Linked DNA regions of Lonchura striata. The protein of the gene in region 1 purifies or fractionates together with the protein of each later gene. This does not show direct contact. Links are inferred from orthologs where the notes say so. Each region holds a gene or a part of one and is shown in the gene's direction. Other genes may lie near its edges. The genes, in order: INPP5E and PDE6D.

Region 1 (11,044 bases):
CTAATGTTCTCCTGGATGACAGATGAACATCGTTTTGATGAGTATAAGATGATTGTAAAACTTTAAAGATTATTCTTATTCTATGACAAGCTATTTTAAAAAAAGTTACAGTTATTTTAAACTTTTTTAGCAGCTTGCTTTGAGCTCTTTGTTTTTGACTGTGATTTTCTTTTAGATTGTTTGGGATGAGCAGAAACAACGTTGGGTAAATCTGGATGAACCAGAAGAAGAGGTAAAAATCCAAGTCCTCATGATTTCTCAAAGTGGAAAACAAAAATCTGTACTTGGTGCACAATTTTCTTTACTTGTCTCTTAAAAGCTGCTTTTTACTGAATTTGGATTAAAATGTGCTACATCAGACAATGGTGTGATTGGATTTTTTTTGTCTCCTTGCAGAGTAAACCTCCTCCACCACCTCCAACAGGATTTCCTAAAGCTGCTCAGGCTGCTCCCCCTGGGCCTGGAGGCCCCCCTGGTGCCTCTGTCAACGTGTTCTCCAGGAGAGCAGGTATCAGCCAGCACTGATATTTGAAGACTTTCTCCTGCATAAAATATGAAGGCAGAAGCTCTGACTTGCCCTGGGTTGTTTGGGAACAGCTGGCAGCTCAGTGTTGCTGGCTTTGCTCATGCCCAGCTCCTGCACTGCTATCACAGTGTACAGTGTGACATGACTTGGGTATTACTGTTTGTATCCCTGGAGTGTTATTTCCTGATCCTAACAGATGCTTTAACCAGCCAACTGTTCAAAGTAGACACAGGCATGATAAACACAAGGGTTCTTTCTGTTTTTCTGCATGTTTCTGGTTTAGCTGGGAGCAGAGCCCGTTATGTGGATGTCCTGAATCCAGGAGGAACCAAGGCAAGTGGTGCTGTTCCTGCACCATCAGACCTGTTTGCCCCCCTGGCACCTATGCCCATTCCTGCCAACGTGTTTGTTCCAAACTCAGGTGTGTGGATGGGATTGTGGGGAGGTTTTATGGCTATTTATGGGGTGTATTTGGGTAATTCCTATTTCTTCTGTAGTTCCAGGGGAATCCCAGCCCGTGGAGGGGAGTGGAGCAGCAGAGCACACACCAGCTGCAAACCAAACCAACACAGACCCTGCTGCAGCTGTGGAGCCAGAGGTGGGTTCCAAGGAATGTCTTGTAGGAGAACCCAAAGTTCTGATTCAAACCCCCTCAGGATTCTGAGCAGCAGTTTCACAGCCACAATCCTTAAAGCATGATGTTGTTGTAGGGTTTGTGGTTTAACGTTTTACTTAAAGAACAGAAGAGAAATACAAGTGAAAATGGAAGTGGGAGGTTGCATTTCCTAATTTGAATAGGGCTGCAGCTTCCATGGGTGCAGGAAAGGGACTGAGAACATGGGAAGAGTCTTGCACTGCACACTACACCTGCCTGATGTGTTGTAGCATTGTTCTGCCCCAGTGGGATCTTTAAGGGAAATGTGGAATAGCCTTGTAGTAATGATGATAAACAGAAGTGCCTTGTTTTCCTTCAGTACTTAAACCCTGCAGCCCTTCCTCCTGGATCTGGACTTCATGTTCCTAACCCTGATGGCTCCCAGTCAGGCGAGGTAAGGCTTGATGCAAAGTATTTAATTAATGACTTTTTACTGTTAATTGTAGTGGTCTTAAAATGGACCATCTAAAACAAGTAACTGATTCAGTTGCTGATAAGTAGCCAACATGTGATATGACTGCCTCCAGAATTACACAGAAAAGACCTCTAAGCCCATATGAGAAGTTCAGCCTCCATTCACAACCCTACATTCTGTGATCTCCTTTTCCTATATAAGTACATTTAAAAGCCCTTTTTCAGATTAAAATGTCAGTAGCAGTTGCAGGCTCTCTTCTTGCCTCCATGCATGCATATAATTTCACTAATATTAAGTGCAAGACACAAGGAGAGCAAGTTGCTGTGTGCCAGGCAGAGTAACATGACCTTTGTTCCTACTAAATGTTTTCTATACCTACATAATTTTGTGCTTTAAGAAGTCCTTTTGATTTAAACTAACTTCTGGCTTTACGTTTGTTTTTGGTTTTTGTTTTTTTTTTTTTTTTTAACTTGAAGTTGGTTTAACCTTTGGCAGTGAGACTTTGACAATGAAATAAAACAACTGAAAGCTTGAGGCAGTGACATGCATGACGACTTTTTTTATTTGTGTTTTTTTGTATTTGTGTGTTCTTGCTGTTTTGTAGCTTTCGCGCTCTAGTTCAATGAGTTCATTATCACGTGAAGTAAGCCAGCATTTTAATCAGGTACATGTGGCTGGCCATTCTCATTTATGTTAACTTATTTACTTTCCCCCACCTCCCCTCTTTATTTTGCATCTGCTCAAATACTAATGCTACTTTTAGTCATTTCCCCCTCATTTCACAGAATTATCATTAAAAGTAGATCATGATGTAGTGTTCCTTTTTACACTCAAACAGGGTCTTCAGTTTTGTGTCTTTATGAGAGTGCATGTAATCCAGGCATGCTTTTTATTGATGTTCCTAAGAGATTCACATAATTTCATCATCTTATTTCTGGGATACTAAAGAAATCAGTTGATTTTAAACAAAATAAAACCAAGCCTCCTCCAACGAAACCAAACCAACCTCCTAAAAAGACTCAATACAAGCAAAACTTGGTCTTTCTGCTGCTGCCAGTCTCAAATTGGTAATAAACCATTTGCAAAAGTCCCTGTAGGAATTAAAGGAATGCTTCATCTCTGCTGGAAGTTCCAGAGCTGTGGGGTCACCACAAAGGGGTGACAAAAACCTTTCTGATATTTTGTAATAAAGCAAAACCTGATATAGAATGTTTATTTTGGGGCAAGTCTTGAGGTGTGTACTAACAAAGGCAGAAGGTACTAATTGAGTGGAGTTGCACTGGTGTCTTGTGTTGGTTTTGCATGCTTTGGATCTGCAGAGCTATTTGCAGTTGATGCATGTGACACTGTTTGGCCAATTCCTACATTAAGCCAGCCCTGTTCTAGATCTGGATGCAAACTATGCCAGCACTCTGGAGTTTTTCCAATAGGCTGTACTCTCCATGTTGTTGGCATTATTCCTGTGAATATTTGCTCTGTATAACATAGCAGACCACATTTAAGAGGCACTGGAGTTCCTCTCTGCCTTTGTCTAATTTCAGTTTTTTCTCTTCCCAGCCTGCCACTGTTCCACCCTCGGGGGCACCTTCAGCAGGGGCAGTACCGTTCTACAACCCCTCTCAATTTGCACAAGTGAGTGAAGAGCTCATCTTTCCTTATCCTTTTTCTTATTATTCAAGATTTCCCAGGGAAGCTGTGCCTGCCCCTGGATCCCTGGAAGGGTCTAAGGCCAGGCTGAACAGGGTTTGGAGCAGTCTGGGACAGCAGAAGTTGTCCCTGCCTATGGCAGGGGGTAGAATGTGGTGGGCTTTAAAGTCCCTTCTGACCCAAACCAGTCTGATTCCATGCTTTGAACAAAACATGATTTTGTGCTTTATCAACTTCATCTGGGCTGTTGGATGTAGAGTGTTAAATGTGGACAAAGATCAGTCTGGCACCTGTTCAATTTAACAAGTTCCCATTCAAAACTTTATTGCTGATTTCTTGAATTTTTGTCTCCAGCATGACACTTCTACAGAACATTTTGTTATCCCTGTTCTTTTTACAGTCTCCTGCAGCCACTGGAAGTTCAAGACTGGGAAGAATTGGACAGAGGAAGTATCCAACACTGAAGTAGAATACAATGGCTTTGTATTTGGAATCCTTACTCATGTTCTGAGTATGCAAAGAGCTATTCAGCCTTATGGCACCTGGTATCAGCTGCAGGTGACATGACAGAAATCTAATGATGGGTGATCTTTTTCATGCTTGCACCTCATCTACGCAAACCATTACCAAACATGAAATGTATGTAACTTTTCCTTTTCAAAACCTGGCTAGAAATAGCTTTGCTGTGATAAAGAATAGGCACAAGAGAGGAAATAGTTGCTGTCTGTTACAAAACCTGTTTGTAAATTGCATAGGCAATTTATTCCTTAAGTTTATTTTAAACCTTACTAGCGTGACCTTCCGAGACATAGTTTCAGGGATTCCTTATTTTCTGAAGGATGCTCCCCTCCCAGCAGGGGTAAAAAAAAAAAAAAAAAAAAAAAAAAACACAACAAAACAAACATGTCCACATTGTAAAATAACACTGTGGCCTTAAGAGGACCATGCACAATTCCAAACAGAGTGTGGACCCAGAGATGTTCCCCTGGGAGGGGCTCACCCAGGAGCTGCCTCATGCTGGTTTGGTTTTTGGGAGTCAGGAGGGGGCCACAGCTCATCCAAATAAATCGACCTATATTGAATGAAAACTGTGACTGTAATCTAATCCTGATTTGATTTGGGTCTTTCCTAGTCTGTATGTAGTTTGTGGTTTAGACTACCTGTAAAGCCAAGTGTATAGTGGGAAGGAGCTCTGTATCATAGCCAACGCTGTTCTCTTGACGAGTGAGTGTTTGTTTAAGTGCAATACGGTTACTTTGCTTTCTCTCAAACTGCTGGCACTCTGCAGCTGGGGGGTAACAGCTTGAAAGTTGCTTATTTTTTCCTTTTGGGAGTGCCAGAATCAGTGTAATAAGCCGTTCTTGAATCTTCCTTACTAAAATAACCAAGGTCTTAAATAGCTAACAGCTAAATTTCATACTAAAAGTAGATGGATTAGACCTCTACAGATGGACTTCAAAATCTTTAGGTTTAATATAGGAAATCTTGAAAACCGTGGTATGCAGTGTTTATATTCACTGAAGAATCTGAATTATCTGCAAAGAAAGAAATAAACTTTAAATATTTATTAAATCATTAGGCCATATTTTATTTAGAACTTGCCACCAAACTATTTGATTTTACTTGAATTTCTGCCCAGGAGTAGAAGTAATACGAATGTGAAATTGCCAGTATTTGTCCCTAGTTGGGTTTTTTTTTTTTTTTTTTTTTTTTTTTTTGTTTGTTTGTTTTTTTTTTGTTTTTTCTTTTCCTGAATAACACCACTTTTCTAAGATTGTGTAGCCTTATCTATGTCCCAAAAAGTTTGTATGCAGCCCAAGTAAAACACTGTTTTGGGGGGGATTAGAAACTTTTGTGTGCTGGTCCATTCTCAATTCCCGACGTGGACAGCAGCAGTCAGTGTGGTTTACTTTTCTATAATTGAAACCTAATCAGACACTTGGCTTTCCTCTAGTCCAGCCAGGCTGCTGATTATTTTCTCCTTTCAGTAGAGACTGCCAAACAACTTCATGCAAGGAGGCTCCCCCTGAGCTGGGAGCGGCTGTCTTTCCTAAGTGTAAGATTTGACACTGTAAATTCTTAAATAAAATATTTTGCGCTCTGGAGCACTTTCACATTTTACTTTCTTCTTGTGGTTATTGCTTTAATGAGGTGGGTGAAGGAGCCTTTCCTTTTTGTCTGGGAACGATCTGTGTGAGGAAAGCGTTTGGTTTTTGGAACAGCTTCATCGGAGCAGGTGTCGGTGCAATATTGGGAAGAACTCCTTTTCGCTAAGGGTGAAGAGGCTGTGGTAGAGGTTGTCCCATCGCTGGAAGCATCCAAGGTCAGGCTTGGAGCATATGGAAGATGTCCATGTGTATCCACGGCAAAGGCTGGGAACTGGGCGATCCTCAGGGTCCCTACCACCCCCAGTCTGTCATTCTGTCATCGCCGTTTGTACTGATCAAAATCGAAGCTTGAGGCTTAATACAGGCATCTTTTAAATTCCCCCAAGTGTAATTAACACGTTTAATCTGTTTCTCAACGCCGCCTTCACCCCGCGCTCGCTGCCGGGCGCTCCTCCGGCCGCCGGGGGGCGCTGCGGGCGGGGCGGGCCCGGCGCTGCCCCCGTTGCCACGGCCGGGCCGGGACCGGAACGGGCAGCGACCGCGGATACCGGCGAGGAGCCGTGAGGGACCGGTGAGGCCCGCAGCGGCGGGGAGGGGCGGCCAGGGTGAGGGGGTGAGGGCCGGGTCCCGCCCGCCCGGCCGGGCTGAGGGCGGCGGCCCCTCGGTGCCGAGCCCGCGCTCGGGGCTGCCTCAGAGCCGCGTGTTGCCCCCTCAGGGCCGCAGAACGACGAGGTGCTTCCCCCCGTGTAGAGATGTACTCGCAGCCCGCTCCCGCAGCTCAAGCCGGCCCTGGGGTGTTTCTGTGAGCGGGGTTGGTGCAAGGCAGGAAAAAGCGGCAGCGATTTCCCGGCTCTGGGATCGCTGGAAATTTCCTGGCCTCGGGCAGCCGGTGCTGGTGACGCCTGTGTACAGCAAGGACAACGAGCTGTGGTTTCTGTGCAGCTTAAATTCCCTTTCGTGCTAGCAGGGCACGCTGCCTTTCCTGAAAGAAGGGTGTACACAGCCGTACAGGAGGTCTGTACTCTGCTTTTGGGGCAAAAAACAGGAAAGAACAGTGATTTTCTGACAAGGTCACGTTGAGGTGTGAGTTGTGCTATAGGGAGGTCCTGCAAGGAGATGCTTTCTGATCGAGGAGGACAGTTTGCAGCTCGATAACTTTTCCTTCTTATATCTTTCTTGGGGGAATCCAGGTACCCCACGTCTTGGAATTTTGCAGACAATGCATCTGCCTGCACATTCACCTGCCCTTCATTCCCAGCTAAAGGCTGAGCTGTCTGCAATTCCCATGTCTCACTGGCTGAGTAAAGCCCTGTGATAAAGGGAAGGAAAGTATGCTTTGAGGAACTTTTCACCTGGAGCAGCATCCATAGCTGGTACCTGGGGGACAATGAGCACTCCAAATGGATTTCCGCAGCACTCAAGGCTGTGTCTTACTCGGAGCATGGAGGGTGGAGCAGTACAGGACCTGCAGGCAAAAAAAGCTGGAAAAGCAGCCAAAAAGGAGGCTGGGGGTGATGGGGCACCTCCGAAAATAGGCACGCCCATAAGTGAGACCCTAAAGCTTCTGCCAGAAGAACTCAAAGCTAACATGAAAATTAAATCGATCACTCCAAGGCCCCCTCGGAAGCCCCGGCTGGAACGTGCTGCATCCCTGGATGAAAAGAGCTGGAGGAAGTGGAGACGATTTAGGACGAGCCAGGAAAGTCTGACTGATCCCAACGAGACGAGCTCCTCCAATGGTTCCCTGCAGGAAGCGTCCCCCAGCCCGCCCACCAGGGGCAGGGCCAGCCCCTGCAATCCCTGCTGCCAGCAGGATTCCTTGCACAGTTCACCAGACGCCTTGGAAGCCAGTCCCGGGGGGAAGAGCAGGGCAGGCACCTCGGACCTGGGCAAACGAGCCTCCGAGATCTCCAGTGCCTTTGGGGGGCTCCTGCGGGGCAAGGGGTTCGCGGGGGGCAAACCCCGCCTGTCCCAAATCATGCCGGCCCGCCCCCTGCCTCCCATGGAGCTCAACGCGGCCTCCCACTCGCTGAGGACAGCTAATAGGATCGACTCAGATTGCCTGGATTACCGACATTATTCTCAGCACAAGTTTGGCAGGGTGAGCAGCAGCCTCAGCGACTCCCGGCTGCAGGGCAATGGGACGCTCTATGACAATTGCTCCACAGACTCCATGAAATCCACCTTCAGCGTGCTCACTCCCATCCGAGCCAAGGATGTCCGCAGCAGGTAGGGCTCCCCCAGCTTTTCTCCTGCTTTTGGGGTGTCAGCAGGGAGAAGAATCCCACTGGGCAGGGAACTTCTGAGCTCCAAAGCCATTCTCTGTTCTTTAACCTGCTGTGAAGGGTGTTGGAAGATGAAGAGATCAGTACAAGTACTCTGCATTTTCTCCTTTCCTCCTTTTAGCTAAGTATTTTCATAAATCTCAGTCTGGTTTGCTGTCAGTTTGCTTGTAATATTAACATAATCTGATTTGAGAATTAAGAAGTGGTGGCTGTGCATACCAGCAGTTGGGAAAACTTTTTTTAGAAAAATCTAAAAGTACACTGAGCTTGAACTGAAATGATAAATTACAGAAAAAAATAACACCAGATATTTTAAATTGAGATTGTCATACAGCATTATCACAGTCCTGTGAGGTGCTGAGCAGAAGTTGCACTTGTTTGCTTTTTGGTAGGATCAAATTATGTGCTGGGAACTACTCCAGTATCCCACAGGAGCTCCTCTGCAGGAGGGAAAATCCTAATCATTGATCCAAAGCGTGGGAGTCAGTAGTGGAGGGGAAACAATTCTGAGATAAATTAAAATGTTACTAGCTGGTAAAAAAACCCCAAAGATAGATTGTTACTTGTTTGCCATGAGGGTTTTCTTTCCCATTCCTCCCTAAAGCTGCTGGAGCCAGGAGGGCAGTGCTGGGTTGCCCAGAACTCCCTGACTTTATTCTCTCATCATTATTTGCAGATCTTAAGCAAGATTAAAAATGTTTATTCAACATGCAGTCCCTGTGCCAGCGTCCCTCAACTCCTGTGGGTGCTGTGGGATGCATCTGTCCTTCCCAAAGGGGATATTTTGAGACCTCAGGCTCAATAAATTATTTTCTTGAAGTTGATTTGATCAGCTGAATTAAAGGAAGAATGAGTGAGTTTGAGTTTTTTGTTAAAGAAACCTGATGCCAGAACACTGGGAATGGTGGAGCTGTTTTGATGTTTGAAGTAAACTGAGCTGCTTCAAGGTACTCAAATTTAATGGAATCACAGAATCACGGAATGGTTTGGGTGGAAGGGACCTCAAAGCTCATCCAGTGCCACCCCTGCCATGGCAGGGACACCTTCCACTGTCCCAGGCTGCTCTAAACCCTGTCCAGCCTGGTCTTGGGCACTGCCAGGGATCTAGGGGCACCCACAGCTCCTGTGAGCACCCTGAAGTTACCAAACCAATTTCTTTGTTCTGTATCTGGATGAATTTAGTGGGGCTGAAGACTTTGGATTGCTTCAGTCTTCTCATCACAGAACTTGAGCATCATCAGCCTCACCATCACCCTTGTGTCTTGGCTTTGGAAGGAGCTTCAGGCAAGCAGAACAATTTATAAATGTTAAATTCCTTCTTCTTAAAGGTATATTCTTGATTACTTAAAGATTTAAACATTACACATCAATATCCCAGCTGCCCTGCCCTTTCCTTAAATGGTCTTCTTTGGGTCTTCTGTCCACAGGAGCTATTTGGAAGGCAGCCTTCTGGCAAGTGGTGCCTTAATGGGAGCAGAAGAACTCAGCAGATATTTCCCTAATCGGAATATGGGAATCTTTGTGGCCACCTGGAACATGCAGGGGCAGAAGGTAGGTGCACAGTAAAGCTGGCAGTAAAGTTACCCCAGCTCTGCTGAGAGGACTGGGGGAATGTTTTTCTGTTCAAGACTATGTTCCTTGTCAGTCATCTTTGTCAAATTAAAAGGTATTTTTCTAGTAAATATTTGCATAACTAATACTGCTTTTCTTTCTTTTTATTTTAAATTTCATGTGTAATAGGAACTTCCAGTGAATCTGGATGACTTCTTATTGCCAACAGATCCAGACTTTGCCCAGGACATGTATGTCATTGGGGTTCAAGAAGGCTGTCCAGACAGGTAGCAAAAACAATGTAATGAACCATCTTCTTTTATTGTTAACTAATAATTTTGCTTTGAAACAGACTAGAAATAGTCATTGTATTTCTAATATTTTCAATAATCAACCCATTTAACAAGACTGAATTCTATTGCATGAGCACCAGAGGAAATGGGATTTAGAGGAAAAAGTGACAGAGATCTGTAAATCATAAAATCCCAGAATGGTTTGGGTTAGAAAGGACATTAAAGCCCATCCAGTGTCACCCTCTGCCATGGGAAGGGACACTTTGCACTAGACTAGGGTCCTCCAAGCCCTGTCCAGCATGGCCTTGGACACTCTCAGGGATAGAACAGCTTCTGTGTACATACAGAATTTCATCCTGATGGCAAAGCTCTGCTGATTTCTGTGGCACCTCAGCGGCCACCCCTTAGTTCAGTGCAGGGAGGTTCTGTTTATGCCTTGATGTTGTGTGTGAGAGGGATTGCTGCGTGTGCACAAGGCTGACGTGCTCTCCCGTGCTGTCTGTGTGATCCAGCTGTTGTTCTCTCCTGCAGAAGGGAGTGGGAGATCCGCCTGCAGGAGACGCTGGGCCCCCACTACGTCCTGCTGCACTCGGCTGCTCACGGCGTGCTCTACATGTCCGTGTTCATCCGCAGGGATCTCATCTGGTTCTGCTCGGGTGCGTGGGGAGCTGAAGGCACTGCTGCCAGCCTCTGCCCTGCCTTTTCTCCCTCTCCTAACCTCCCTGCTCACTGTCAGAAGCATTTCAGTAACAGCATCTTCTTTTCTTCCTTCCAGAAGTGGAGTATGCCACGGTGACAACTCGAATCGTGTCTCAGATCAAAACCAAGGGAGCTCTGGGAATCAGCTTCACGTTTTTTGGGACCTCCTTTCTCTTCATCACCTCCCACTTCACATGTGAGACATTTGCAATCTTGCTACGAGTGTCCTGGTTGAGGGAGGAGGGGAGGGAGCTGTACAGAGGTGAAAAAGCAGGACAGGCTGAAGCCAAAGCTCAGGATTGCTGAGCTGACAAAGATAAGGGAGGAAGTTTATTTGGTAACAAACTTACAAAAGAACTGTGTTAATGGAAACAGAAATGAACTCTGCACCATTGTGTCCCTCTTCCCACACTTTCTGCCATCATTATTCAGTGCAGACACTCCCAGAGTGTCACATTTGATATGTGGAAAATGTCTGATACCCTTTGGAAGCTCCTGGTATAACAAAAAATGATTGTTGAATGAAAATGATTCACTGGTGGTAGTAATGGGGTTTCTGTCTTGCAGCTGGGGACAGTAAAGTGAATGAGAGGAAACTGGACTACAATAAAACCATTCAAGCCCTTACACTTCCCAAGAATGTTCCGGACACAAATCCATATCGATCCAGCTCTAGTAAGTGGGAAACCATGAGCATGGGGAGCCCGGGTCAGCAGAGTGTGCATTATCTCTGCACTGGGAAACAGACAAGAAGAGTGATAATTTGAGACTGTGTAAAAAGAAACCACAGGTCTTTTTGTCTGAGAATGGTTATTACTCCCATGATTTATGTTTTTTTCTCTTGAAATTGGGAATTTGAGAAAAA
Region 2 (11,815 bases), on another chromosome or scaffold:
TGGAATAACAGCAGCACCAAGCAGTGATTTTTACTGATTGGGTTGTTAATACCATTAGCTGCACACAAACCCAGGAAAAAAACAGCACTTGTGATTTGCTGCTGAATGACCATCAAGGTGCTTTTATGCATATTTAAGAGCCTGCCTGGAAAGCCAAACTTGCTGTACACTGTGTTACTCCAGCTGCAGAGATACTCAACTTAAGATTCTTTCATTGTAGAAGAGGCAGGGGCTGGCAAAGCACTCTCAGCAAAAGCTCTGGAACTTGCTTTCCACCTTGCTTTGAAATGGTTTGGATTTGGTTACCACCCAGGCCTGATACACTAGACATCTGCTCACAAAGACTTTTGGAGAGCACTGAAATTCTGCTTTCCAGGACAGTAAAGAAATAGAAAGGGACTTTTTCCTTGCTGGCTGCCAAAGTGCCTTCTTAAAACTGCTACTGTGCTGCTGCCAGGTTTTTGCTGTGTTAGCAACTGCCTTAAGGTAGCAAAGCTTCATATAGGTATTCTTTAACACCTAACATATACAAGCAAAAGCAAGGTCAGCCTCTTATTCAAAAACATCTCCCAAGCCAGGTAAGTTGCAACAGGCCCTCCTGGCACAGAAATTTCACCCACAGGCTGCCTGTGGAAACTTCTGAAGATCCCTTATACCAGTAGTGCAGTAAGGGCATTAGAATAACAACTCAGCTCTTACCTCTTTCACATTTGTTAACTCCAACAGCTCTCCAAAGACATAAACCCCAGGAGCTTCCAGCACTTGGTTTATAAGAGCAGTCAGAGCTGAGCCACTTGTTCCTTTGGCTAGTAAAATGAACTGCTCTAGAAGATTGCAGGATGGCTTCTGTTCTCCTGCCATTCTAGGTTTGCAATCTGTCAGCAAAAGAACATAATATTAACACATCCTTTCTCCTCTGCCTGGCAGGGGGCCAGAAGGTGCTCAGCAGAGCAACATTTCAGCTGCCAGCCTTTTCTTCAGCATTCAGGGGGCAGACCAAAAACCCAGCAGGCTCAATTGCTGATTTAGCTGGGGAACAAGGATGACTCCCACAATTTCTAAGCAAAATTTCTGTCTGATCTGCTCCCTAAAAGGATCTGCTCTTGCAGATCCCTTCTTGTAAGACAGGAGTTTATATTTTATTGCTGTTTTCAGACTTTTCCTTCTAGTGATGCTGCCAAATAATACCAACTGTAAAGATGCTTATTGATACACTTGATTGACTTTCTCCTTCCTCATTGCACAGCTCCAAACCAGCAACCAACATAATTCCCTGTGAAGGACTGATGCACTCTGTATGCCCACACATCCCACCTTTTCCTTTGACTCTGGCTATTGATAGATTGTGTTCCCATAATTCCCACTGAGCCCAAAAGGTAAAAAGAACTGGGGCCTGTAAGCAGCTCCCCTGTCTGCACTGTGCAGTTCAAGTGTTTGGGGTTAACTGGGAAGCTTAAGTGATAAAAATACCCTTTCTACAAAGGCTCTATTTAAGTCCGTGTGAAGAGAGGTCTTTGTCTTCAGCTGCTGCCTGACATTTCTGGTGTGCATGTTGTCTCCCAGCACCAACATGTTGCTTTTGAAATGTAAACCACTATTTATTAACAAGTTCCAGAGAATGAGCTGTTTGTTTACAAACAAATAAGACAAAACTTCTCAAGCATGTTATTCAGAAACCAAATAAAGAACTTAGCAGATAAGGGAGGTTTTGTTTATGTTTGTAAGGGATGATTAGCAAGCAGAGAGTATAACCTTGATGAAAACCAAACACCAGAGAGCCTGTCTGGTTCTGTGTGACCCACATGGGCTGGGCCCACATCCACCCTTGTGGGGGCAGCACAGTCATACAGGGGTTTTGCTGTTTCACCAGGCCTAACCAAATTAAGGCTTGTGAAGGCATCACAGCTTCATGTATTAATCAACTTCTAAAAATACACTTTACTTTGTTCTATTACACCTGCAGGTACAAATGGTCTCAGCTTTAGAGGGCAACCTTTAACACTCTCCACACTGAGATATCTCAGCCCCCGAAGTCTCTCTGGGGTTCCTTCCACCAGAGGCACAGCACAGCTGCTGAACAGCACCTCAGCTCTGATCCCGAAACCCCTGCACCACAGAACACTCAGTGTGCCTGCCTAACACATCAGTGTGCTCCCTCTGCTCGCAGAGAGGGCAATTTCCTCACGAGAGAATATGGATTGACTGTGCTAGGAATGAGATTCAGATTTCACAGTTCTATTGTCCTCCCTCACAGGTAATCAAACCATGTATGAGGTTACAAAAGACTGGCTGGCTGAATCCATGCCCTGCTGGGAAGAGATGCAATTCTCTGCCCCTTTCCAAGTAAATGTTCGGACAACTGCGGTGCTATCGCAAGGTGTGTGCACACCCGTGTCACAGGGAATACCTCGCTGCTTCCACAACCGACTTATCGTGGTGAGAAGCGACTGAAATAAAGCACACACTCCAACGTAGCTTGTCCAAAGGCTACAACAACCCAAGCAGGGGGACAAGCCGGGCTTCTCTTGCGGTCAAGCCTTTCGAAGGTAGCTCAAGGAGTTTCAGGGCGGGGAGCGGCCCGCAGACCCTGCAGCAGGAAGGCGGGGGTTTCCCGGCCCTGCCGTTCCCCCCAGACCCCTGGCAGAGCCTGGGGCCCCACCGAGCCCTGCCGCAGGGGGGAATTTCCTGTGAGTCCCTCACCGCCGCCCCCGTTCCCGGGAGGCTTCTCCCAGTCCCGGCGTTACCTCTCCGCTGCCGGCCTCCCGTCCCGCCGCTGAGCCCGCCGCGCCTCACGCCGCCATGATGGCGGCACCGGTGTCCGCGCGCGGCTCCTTCCCCCCCGGAACGCGCGGGCCACGCCGAACGTTCCGCCCGACCCCGGCGGCCGCACCGAGCGGGAACCGCGAATCCGGGAATGCCGCATCCCGGGAATACCGGCATGGGGACGGCGGGCTGGGCGTGCTGGCACCGACAGAGCCATGGTCCGGCAGCCCACGGAGCAAACTTCACTTCTTTATGCTGCGCCAGCTGCTCTGCTGGCTCCCAGCAGCTGTCCAGTATAAGCAAGTAAAATTCCTGCCTCTTTTAGGGGATATGAAATCCTGTGGCAGCATCACGGCGGTTTGCACCCCAAAATAACCCGTGCAAAGGGCTGCTGTTGTAAGGCCACTTCGTTATTAGAAGTGGGGCCATTATTAGATTGAATGGTTGCACGGAGCATTTGCACCGACTCCCCAGGGAAGTGATCACAGCTCCAAACCTGGCAGAGCTCAAGGAGTGTTTGAACAACACTCTCAGGCACAGGGTGGGATTCTTGGGACTGTGCTGTGCAAGGACAGGAATTAGGCTCAATGATCCCTATGAGTCCCTTCCCATTCAGGATATTTGGTGATTCTACCAGCTGAGCCTCTCAGGCCAGTCCTCCTGGGAAATAGCAAGAGATGGAGTGAAGATAGAACTGATTTTGAACTCCATAGAAAAATGGTCCATACAAATGATAAATCAAAGGGCAGAGCTCTGGCTGTGACATAGGGGAGCAGGGAGGGAACTGGAAGGGTTAAGATCCTCCCCAGGGCATAGATCAGGAGCCAAAAGATGCTTGAAGGGGTATCAGAATGAGGGTAGAAACAAGAGGGAATTGGGGATTGTTAACCTCCCCAAAGTTTGTAGGCTCATCCATGCCATGTTGTGAACTAAATGTGCCTCTGTTAAAAATCCTTCAGCTGAGAGCAAAGTGCTTCTGGCTTTCAGTCAGCAAGTCTCTGAAGATCAAATCATGGACCAGGAAGGGGGGAGCTTTCAAGGAATGAACATCAGAAACTATTAGGGAAACTGATGGGGCTTAGCCTGTGTCTCAGAGCCAGGGCCCTGGGGTCCCATCATGCATCAGAGAAGGAGTGTCAGACAAGTGCAGAGATGCAGGTGTTGGAATGCTGTTGTGACACTCTGGGCTTCACAGCAAATTGGATGTAAAAAACCAGACCCTGCACAACAAGGGAACTCAGCCAGGGCTATAACAAGCCAGTCAGTAATTTACTTAAGCCACACTTAGCCCTCATCTGCACAGGGAGGGAGAATTACCTCTTTAATCACATCCTAACCAGGCCCTTCCCCACAGTTCCTGTCATCCTGCAGACATGCTGGAACAGTTGCCTTGGACAAGCAGTGTGTGGCCTCCTTTTTCCCAACACTTGCTAAAGCTCGAATTCCAGGCTGAAATAGAAATGGAAATATATTATTGTGAGCTATTTTCCATGGATTCTGCAACCTTTTGCTAGAGCCTGTGGCTAAAAATCATCTGTTAGCCCCATGTAGGTCAGCCAGGAGTCTCTGTCCTGATACCTCCCAACTGTTGACAGCCAGCCTGGCTGGCTGACCTGGACTTTGGAGGACAGAGTCAGCTAAGCTCAGCTTTTGGGATGGATTTTTGTTTTTAAGAGGAAAAAAATATGTGTATGTCCAGCTGTCTCATTCCCTTTTAAACAGCTATTGCAACCTCTTGCTCCACCCACGCAGCTCTCTGTGTGCCAGGATATGTTAATCCATTTTATCTTTTAATGTTGGCATTATCTCTTGGCTCACCCCACCTCTTCCCCTTGTGACTCTGCAGTCCAGGTCCCTTTAAGGCAGCACATAATTCACCTTATTTCCCTGCATTGCCACAGTAATGTCCCCAAGCAGTGGGGTCCTGGACCCCCAGACTTTGAGGACACCTGACGTCACCAAGGAGAGGGCCAACAGTGAAAACACTTTTGTGTTTCTTATTTTTTTCCTTATATTTCATTACTCACCTGTGTGTGCTTCCATGCATTTATCCTCATTCCCTGCAGCTGCCAGCACACACCTCCAGAGCATGATGGAGACGAGCTCCCAGGCCCTACTGAAAAGTTTCCAAACTCTCTGTATTTCCCAGGATCCAGGGAGTAAGCTGCTTGCTGGACTCTCATCTCAGCCAGGCAAGGAGTGATGTCTGGGTAGTTGTACAACCTCTTCCATCAAGTGTGGGGTGGGATGAAGCCCTGGTTTACTAAACTATCCCCCAGTTATGCTGCTCTGCAGAAACACCAGCTCCTTCACCTGCACCTGGAGAAGCAGAAAACAGGCTGGAGGCATCTTCTTGCCTGCAGTGGTAGCTCAGAAGCTGCCACACCTGCCAGTGAAGTGAAGGAAAAGCTTTCAGTTCCAAGTGTCACCAAAGGATAGAGGGATTTGCAGCAACTTTCTTGCAAGGAGATTTTTAAGAAGATGTGCTCAAGAGTGCTGTTTGTGTTAATGCAGCCCAAGGCCTTTGAGAGATCCCAGGGTTTTTGTCACTCTGAGTTGTGCTGTCACGTGTTCCACTGCTGCCTGGCCCTGCACAAGAGCTTCACATTTCAGCTATGAGCTCTTCTGTGATTTTCAGAAATTCATGAATGAGAGGCTTGTGCCTCCCTGCACAGCAAGAGGACTTTGTGAATTCTGAGACTTGGCCAGGAAATGCAAAGGCTCCAACTTGAAACTCCACAAACATCTCTACCCCTGTGCTAGAGAAGCCCTTCAAAGCTGCAAGAGTTCCCTTCTATGAGATTTATTTGGTCTCTGGCTCCTTAATCTCTGAGGAGCCTGAATGGAGACAGGATTGAGTTTCTTACGACTTGTCTGAACCAGAATGTCCAACTTCCACCTAGCAGGCTCATTTCCTACATGCAACCATTTGTTTCTGCCTTTTCCAGGTCTGCTTTTGTCTTGCTTGCCTTTTCTCCTTATCAGTCTTTTCTCTTCTTTAGACAGCATGCAATTCCACAGCCTAGCTAAAATCCAGGATGGACTCTTAATAAAATATATATCTGCACAGCTCACTCCTGGCATTCTGCCCACACTCAGAATGACCCCTTCATACACTTAAACTGATGGTGGGAAATTGAGCATGGCTCATATACATCAGGAAAATAAATGCTGCCTATTTTTAAGATATTTTGTCAGTTGTACTGACAGTGGCCTTGCCCTTATGCATTAAATGCAGCCTTTATTAACAATCAGTCTCCACTTTTGTACAGCGGGCGATTTGGAGGCAAGCAGAGCCATGCGTGAGTGTATTGATGGCACCCTGACTGTTCACTGCTCCTCATCTGAGGACTGGGTTACAACTGCTGGCTTTATTTTTACCACGACTTAATGCTTTTATCAGTTGCACTCAGATTGTTAAGAGAGGGGTTAATTAATTAGCTCATGTAAAAGAGCAGCCTGGCTTCTGGGATGTGCTAACAATACTGAGACTTTTCCCCCCACAATCAACTCTGCTACACAAACATAAAAGCCATGAAGACGATTAGAAGGCTAAAGCACCTCTTCTCCGAGGAAAGGCTGGAAGAATTTGCGTTATTCAGCCTGGAGAAGGTTCCAGGGTGACATTATTCAGGACTTTCTGTACCTGAAGGGGTCCTACAAGAAAGCTGGAGAGGGACTTTTTACAAGGCAATACAATTCTAGGGATAGAACAAGAGGAATGGCTTCAAAATGACAGAAGGCAGATTTAGATTAGATGTAAGGATGAAATTATTTCCTGTGAGGGTGCTGAGGCACTGACACAGGTTGCCTGGCAAAACTGTGGATGCCCCATCCCTGGATGTGTTCAAGGCCAGCCTGGATGGTCTTTAAAGTCCCTTTCAACTCAAGCTGATCTGTGATTCAAATTTCTGCAGCACAAAGAAGGCTGCCTTTGTTCCAGGGGGTAGCACTCTTTATCTTAAACCTTCTCCACAATGCTGGTCCCGTTGGCTCCGGCCTCGGGACACGCAGAATCACAGAGCTGTTGGGTTTGGGAAGGACCTCTGGCGACCATCCAGTCCAACTCCCTGCCAAGGCAGGGTCACTTGGAGCAGATGACACAGAACTCGTGCAGGTGGGTTTTGAAGGTCTCCAGCAGAAGCTGCTCCGGGTGGAGCTCCGCCGAGCAGCCCCAAAGACGAAACCTCGGGGAGCCGCTGCCTGGGGAGAAGCGCCAGCCAAGCTCCGGCGGCTCGGGGCCGTTCGGCCGCCGCTGGCTGGGCCCGGGGAGGCTTCTGGCCCCCTCGACTGCTCCCGCTGAGGCCTCCCGGGCGCGGGGACCGCCCGCAGCCCTGCCCGGTCACCCTGCGGCGCCGCCACCGCGGCCACGTCAGGCCCAACCACAGCGGCCCCGCGACCGCCGCGCACCCACCCTTGAATAGAAGAGCGCCGCCTGATTGGTCAGGAGCGCTGTCATTCCTGCGCCAGAAGGCGGGGCTAAGAGGGGACGGCAGCAGCTGATTGGTCGGCACGGCGGCGGGCGGCCGCTGGGGTTGGTTGCGCCGGGCAGTGGCGGGTGCGCGGGAGGGAGGGGCGGGGGGTCCCGAGGCTCCGCTGTCACCGCCGCGCTCCCGCCAGGCCCGGCCCAGCCCCGTCCGCCCGCCCGCGGCGCGGCAGGACCATGTCGGCCACGGACGAGCGGGCCAAGGAGATCCTCCGCGGCTTCAAGCTGTATCCTCCGTGCGCGGGGGCCGCGAGGCGCCGCGGGGGGCGCGGGGATCGCCGCCCCGCTGTGGCGAGGCCCCTGGGGCGGGAGGGAGGTTGCCATGGCAACGCGGTTCTCAATGGCGTCCGCGCTCCGGCGGTGACGGGAGGGTCCCTCGGGGCTGGGACCGGCCCTGGGCCGGCCGGGCCGGGGGGGCGGGGAAGGAGGCCTCGCGATGCCGGGGTCCCGTCCCTGCCTGCGGTGCCGCGGGTGAGGGGTCCCCGCGCCCAAAGTCCTGAGCCGGTGGGCGACCGCCGCCCCTCGGCCCCTGCCCGGCGCCGAGAGGGGCTGGGCGGCGGCGGCGGCCCCGGGCAGCCGGAGCCCCCCGCCCGCAGCGAGGACAGCTTACGGAGGGCAGGTGAAGTAGCTCTGCGCCTGGATCTGACCCCTTTCCCTCCGGCCTGCCCTTCAGCACCTCTGCTCGGAAGGGAGATACCTGGTCATCAGGTGCAGGAGCACCCAAGCACCTCGTTCCTTGTCATGCCGTGAGGTACTGGCACATGTGTTGGTCGTGCGGTGTCTTTTATTGCTGACGTATTCTGCGTGTAAATGCCTTTCTGTGCAGCTCGTTTAAAAACTTTTCATGTTGTGGCTTTCAAAAAGCGTTCTGATTTTATGCCTGTGGTACCTGGATGTGAATTTAAAGCTGATGAAATGAGATAGAGCTGAGCTTGGAACAGAGGCAAGTGCCTTTGTGCACCTTCCAACCCAGGATTTCAGCAAAGCAGAGAAAGGCTTGACCTAAAGGCCCATGTTCAAACTAAAGGTGTGAGAAATATTGTAGCTTTATTTTACATGTGGAATATTTTACTGAAGTAAATTCTTCTCAGCTTAGAAGGCAAATGCAAGATTGCTATCTTGATCTTTAGACATCAGAATATTGTTATAAGTTGGTTCTTTTTTTTTACAATAAAAAGGACAGAAGTGAAGGAAATATCCTCTTGATCGAAGCCTGTTATTTCTAAACAGGGTGGTGGGGTTTTTTGTTCTGTGAGATGTTCATAATCTCTATGCCAGCTGTAGCAGGATGTGATTTTTTAGGTTAGATTTAGACAGATAGCTTTTATTAAACTATAAGCCGATGCTTTTCTTAACTTTTTATCATTGCAGTCTCCTCCAGCTGTTAGTACTTCATCTGGTTCCTTTGCTTCTGCACTGGCACTATTGACAGTTCTTTGTATTTATGAAGATGTGGAATTTTAGCTGTCAAAAAATAAACTAAAAATCTTTTCTGCTGGCAATCAGAAGAATAAACTTCTCACAAGACCAGACTAAGCTGTTGGTAGAAGTGAGGAGTGCTTTGGAAGTTAAGCCTAGGGAGAAAACTTTTAAGTGCTTTTTGCATGTGTTTGTACATAGTATTTATTGGATAGCAGAATTTACATAAAGGCCTTTGCCCAACTCTGAATGAAATAATACTTTTTGTTGTTTGCCGTCTTAAAGAGAAAATGCATTTTGCTCTTTGAGAGGAAGGATGTCAGACAACAAATTATGATCTCAAGCAGCCATAGCATGGATAAGAAGTTTTATTAGAAGCACTCTGCAGTCTGTGTTGAAGCATCTCAAGTCTAGTCTTCCTTTGTTTGTCCTTGCAAAAAAAAAAATACTTCTGGCAGGACAGTTTAAGTTAAAATCTGGGGAGCTGCCACAGGGGCTGTGTAGTGCAAAGTCTGACAAACAGGAAAGTTTGGAGAAACATTTCATAACTGAAACTTTTAGCAAGTTGAAATAGTTGAGAAACATCTATGTTGCCTTTAGTAAGCCAGAAGAGAGGCTGAGCAGACATTCCTCATTTGTGGGGAAGCCTTGAGACACCACACCATCCCCACAGGAAACTGCTCATGCCCAGCTGTGGCCATGCTCCCTGCAAGGGAGACATCAGCTCAGACTTCCCTTCCCTTGTCCAAGGGCAGGCATCTGTTCCAGAGATAATTGCAGTTTAGAGATGCTTTATCTTCCAGCCACCCTATTGCTGCATGTACTCATTTAATTAATAGAAAGGAAGAGAGAAACGTGTTCTGAAAAACTGTTCAGTTTATACTTTGAGTATCTGAAAACTTTGTCCTCTGCTCCCACATGGGAAGGAGTTCAGCTTCACCAACTCAAGCAACTTTGGCACTTCAAACTGAAACTTGCTTTTGGCACAAGAGAGGAGCATGGCATTGCACCCAGGGGCAGTGTGTGAGGGATTCCTTGGGAGAGAAGAAGAGTTGCTAGGGCCAAAAGCATCACTGAGGAAGCAGGCTTCCAAAATAATCCCTAATTTTAACATGACAGCAGACACTTAAGCTGGAAGTCCAGTTCACATTGAGTAATCAGAGTTTCCTCAAACAATTCTGTTTCCTTGTGGTTCCTGAGAAGGGGTTAATTACAAGCTTTCCAACTCATTGGGGCACGCTGGATGATTGGGGTATGTGGAAATTAAATTATAGCCTAAATCCACCCTCTAATTTCAATGCAAAGATAGGTTTTCCTTCCTCTATGACACTAGTGCAGAAACATGTAGTGACTAATGTCCCAAAATCCAAGCCAGGAACATTTATTCCTTCTTCTCATGGATTTTGTTATTTTAAAAATATTAAAACCTCTGGAAATATATTTGATGCTTGCAGGAAAATTAGAATATTATATATTACTACACTTATGCTAAGAATTTTTGTGGCACCAGTTAATATTACTAACAGTCCAATAAATACGGTGCAGAAAAATTTTGAAAGCAGACAACTAAGAGAGCTTGTCACTTGTTCAGGGACAATATTTGCTAATAGAGCTTGTGTGTTTATCAACAAACTGTTCTGAAGGCACTTGTCTGAACAGCAGTTGTTACACCCAATGTAATAACTACAGGTAGCTATGAAAATGCACTTGTTTGGCTACAAACAACATCAATCCAGTTGGTAACTGAAGATTCATTTGTGTGAAGCATTAGCCAAGTCTTATTTTTGCAAGTATTTATGCACATCTGGTCCTGTGATCTCAAATGCATTAAATTAGATTATGCCTTTTTTTTTCCCCTCTGGAAGATGGGAGAGTTATTCTGTCAAGCTACAGAAGGGCATTTTACTTGACCCTTACTTACCCTTTCCACACATTCTTCAGATCTTGTTCTGTCATTTTATCTTCAGTGTGTACTATTACATGCATTTATTTAGCATGATTTATCAAAAGAAAGTGATGTACTTCCCCAACAGTTAAAGTTCAGGAGTGTTTTATTTTGATGGCTCCCCCTCAACAACTCCCTTAACAATGGGTGGGTTGCCTCTTGACCTTTGTTCTGAGATGAACTAGCACAGAATTATTTTTCCAAAATGTGCTAGAATAAGGACTCTATAGATAGTTACCCTGTTTAGTTTGTTTTGGCAGCATTTGGAAAGCATCCATGCTGTAGATTAGAAATATCCAGTCATGGTTTGCAACAGCAGATTCACGTCCAACTTTTGAGGGACCACAGTCTAACTTCTTTAAGCAGTTCTTTCTGTGAGGTTTCAGTCAGAACAGCAAGGAAGAGAAAACCCAAATGAGTTGGTTGATTCTCATAGGATGGTTAAAGTTCCATGTATTGCTACTCAACACAGTGTAAGGACATATGCTTTCTATTTTAAATCTTACAAGTCAAGCAAGATATCACCTTTTATTTGCTTCTGTACAGAGAAGTCTTATCAAAATCTCTGTAGTTTTAATTGACCTGTAGCTGTTTATCAGTTTAGGATACATTTTTCCATTAACTTAATTTTAAGGCTGTGTAGTAGCCCATTCTTCAGAAGTTTCCTGAAACAAGGTAATACAGTGAACATAAGCAAGAAGAGACAATATTAACTGACAGTATTAACTCCAGAACAATTACAGAGTTACGAAACTTGCGTTTGTGGTCAGTGTAAATATACACCTGCAGCTCAAGCACTCCAACACTTGCAGGTAAAACTTCTTACGTCAAAGGTTGGCCTACTTTCCTACAGTCCTCAAAGTTCCTTGTGCAACATCTTCCCAGCTCCCAGAGCTTTTTTCAGCTTTATTTTCACTATTGCTTTTCTGCCTGGGAAGTCTTTCTAGCAGAGAATTATTCTCTTTGAAAGGTGGGTAGAGATGTATTGAAAATACAGTTATACCAGAATCATTAGGAGTATCTATTATATACTCTGCAGACAGGGAAACTTCCACTTCCAACTTCAGCCTGCTGTGCTGTACACACTGAAGTCAATGACAGTCTTGTCCATCATTCCTGGAACAGTCACTGGAATTTTGAGCTAGTTTGATGCAGCATTCCAAAGTTGAGCAATCTAATTGGAAGCAACATTGAAATAAGTT

The links.
Region 2: the proteins of INPP5E (region 1) and PDE6D purify together in Homo sapiens (affinity purification with mass spectrometry; 3 studies listed by BioGRID and IntAct, with this or other methods). This does not show direct contact. The link is inferred for Lonchura striata from reciprocal best matches to the Homo sapiens genes INPP5E and PDE6D.

The regions. Positions count from the first base shown.
Region 1 is NC_134624.1:8,888,269-8,899,312, forward strand, and holds the start of INPP5E (phosphatidylinositol polyphosphate 5-phosphatase type IV), read left to right. Parts: upstream 1-5,839; 5' UTR 5,840-5,922; intron 5,923-6,541; 5' UTR 6,542-6,738; coding exon 6,739-7,580; intron 7,581-9,063; coding exon 9,064-9,187; intron 9,188-9,376; coding exon 9,377-9,474; intron 9,475-10,011; coding exon 10,012-10,136; intron 10,137-10,255; coding exon 10,256-10,375; intron 10,376-10,746; coding exon 10,747-10,854; intron 10,855-11,044. Other genes in the region: protein transport protein Sec16A, read left to right, coding at 176-232, 397-508, 810-947, 1,024-1,124, 1,501-1,575, 2,201-2,260, 3,154-3,228, 3,644-3,712. UniProt on the Homo sapiens protein: Phosphatidylinositol (PtdIns) phosphatase that specifically hydrolyzes the 5-phosphate of phosphatidylinositol-3,4,5-trisphosphate (PtdIns(3,4,5)P3), phosphatidylinositol 4,5-bisphosphate (PtdIns(4,5)P2) and phosphatidylinositol 3,5-bisphosphate (PtdIns(3,5)P2).
Region 2 is NC_134612.1:18,213,856-18,225,670, reverse strand, and holds the start of PDE6D (retinal rod rhodopsin-sensitive cGMP 3',5'-cyclic phosphodiesterase subunit delta), read left to right. Parts: upstream 1-7,333; 5' UTR 7,334-7,426; coding exon 7,427-7,476; intron 7,477-11,815. Other genes in the region: COPS7B (COP9 signalosome complex subunit 7b), read right to left, coding at 700-861. UniProt on the Homo sapiens protein: Promotes the release of prenylated target proteins from cellular membranes. Modulates the activity of prenylated or palmitoylated Ras family members by regulating their subcellular location.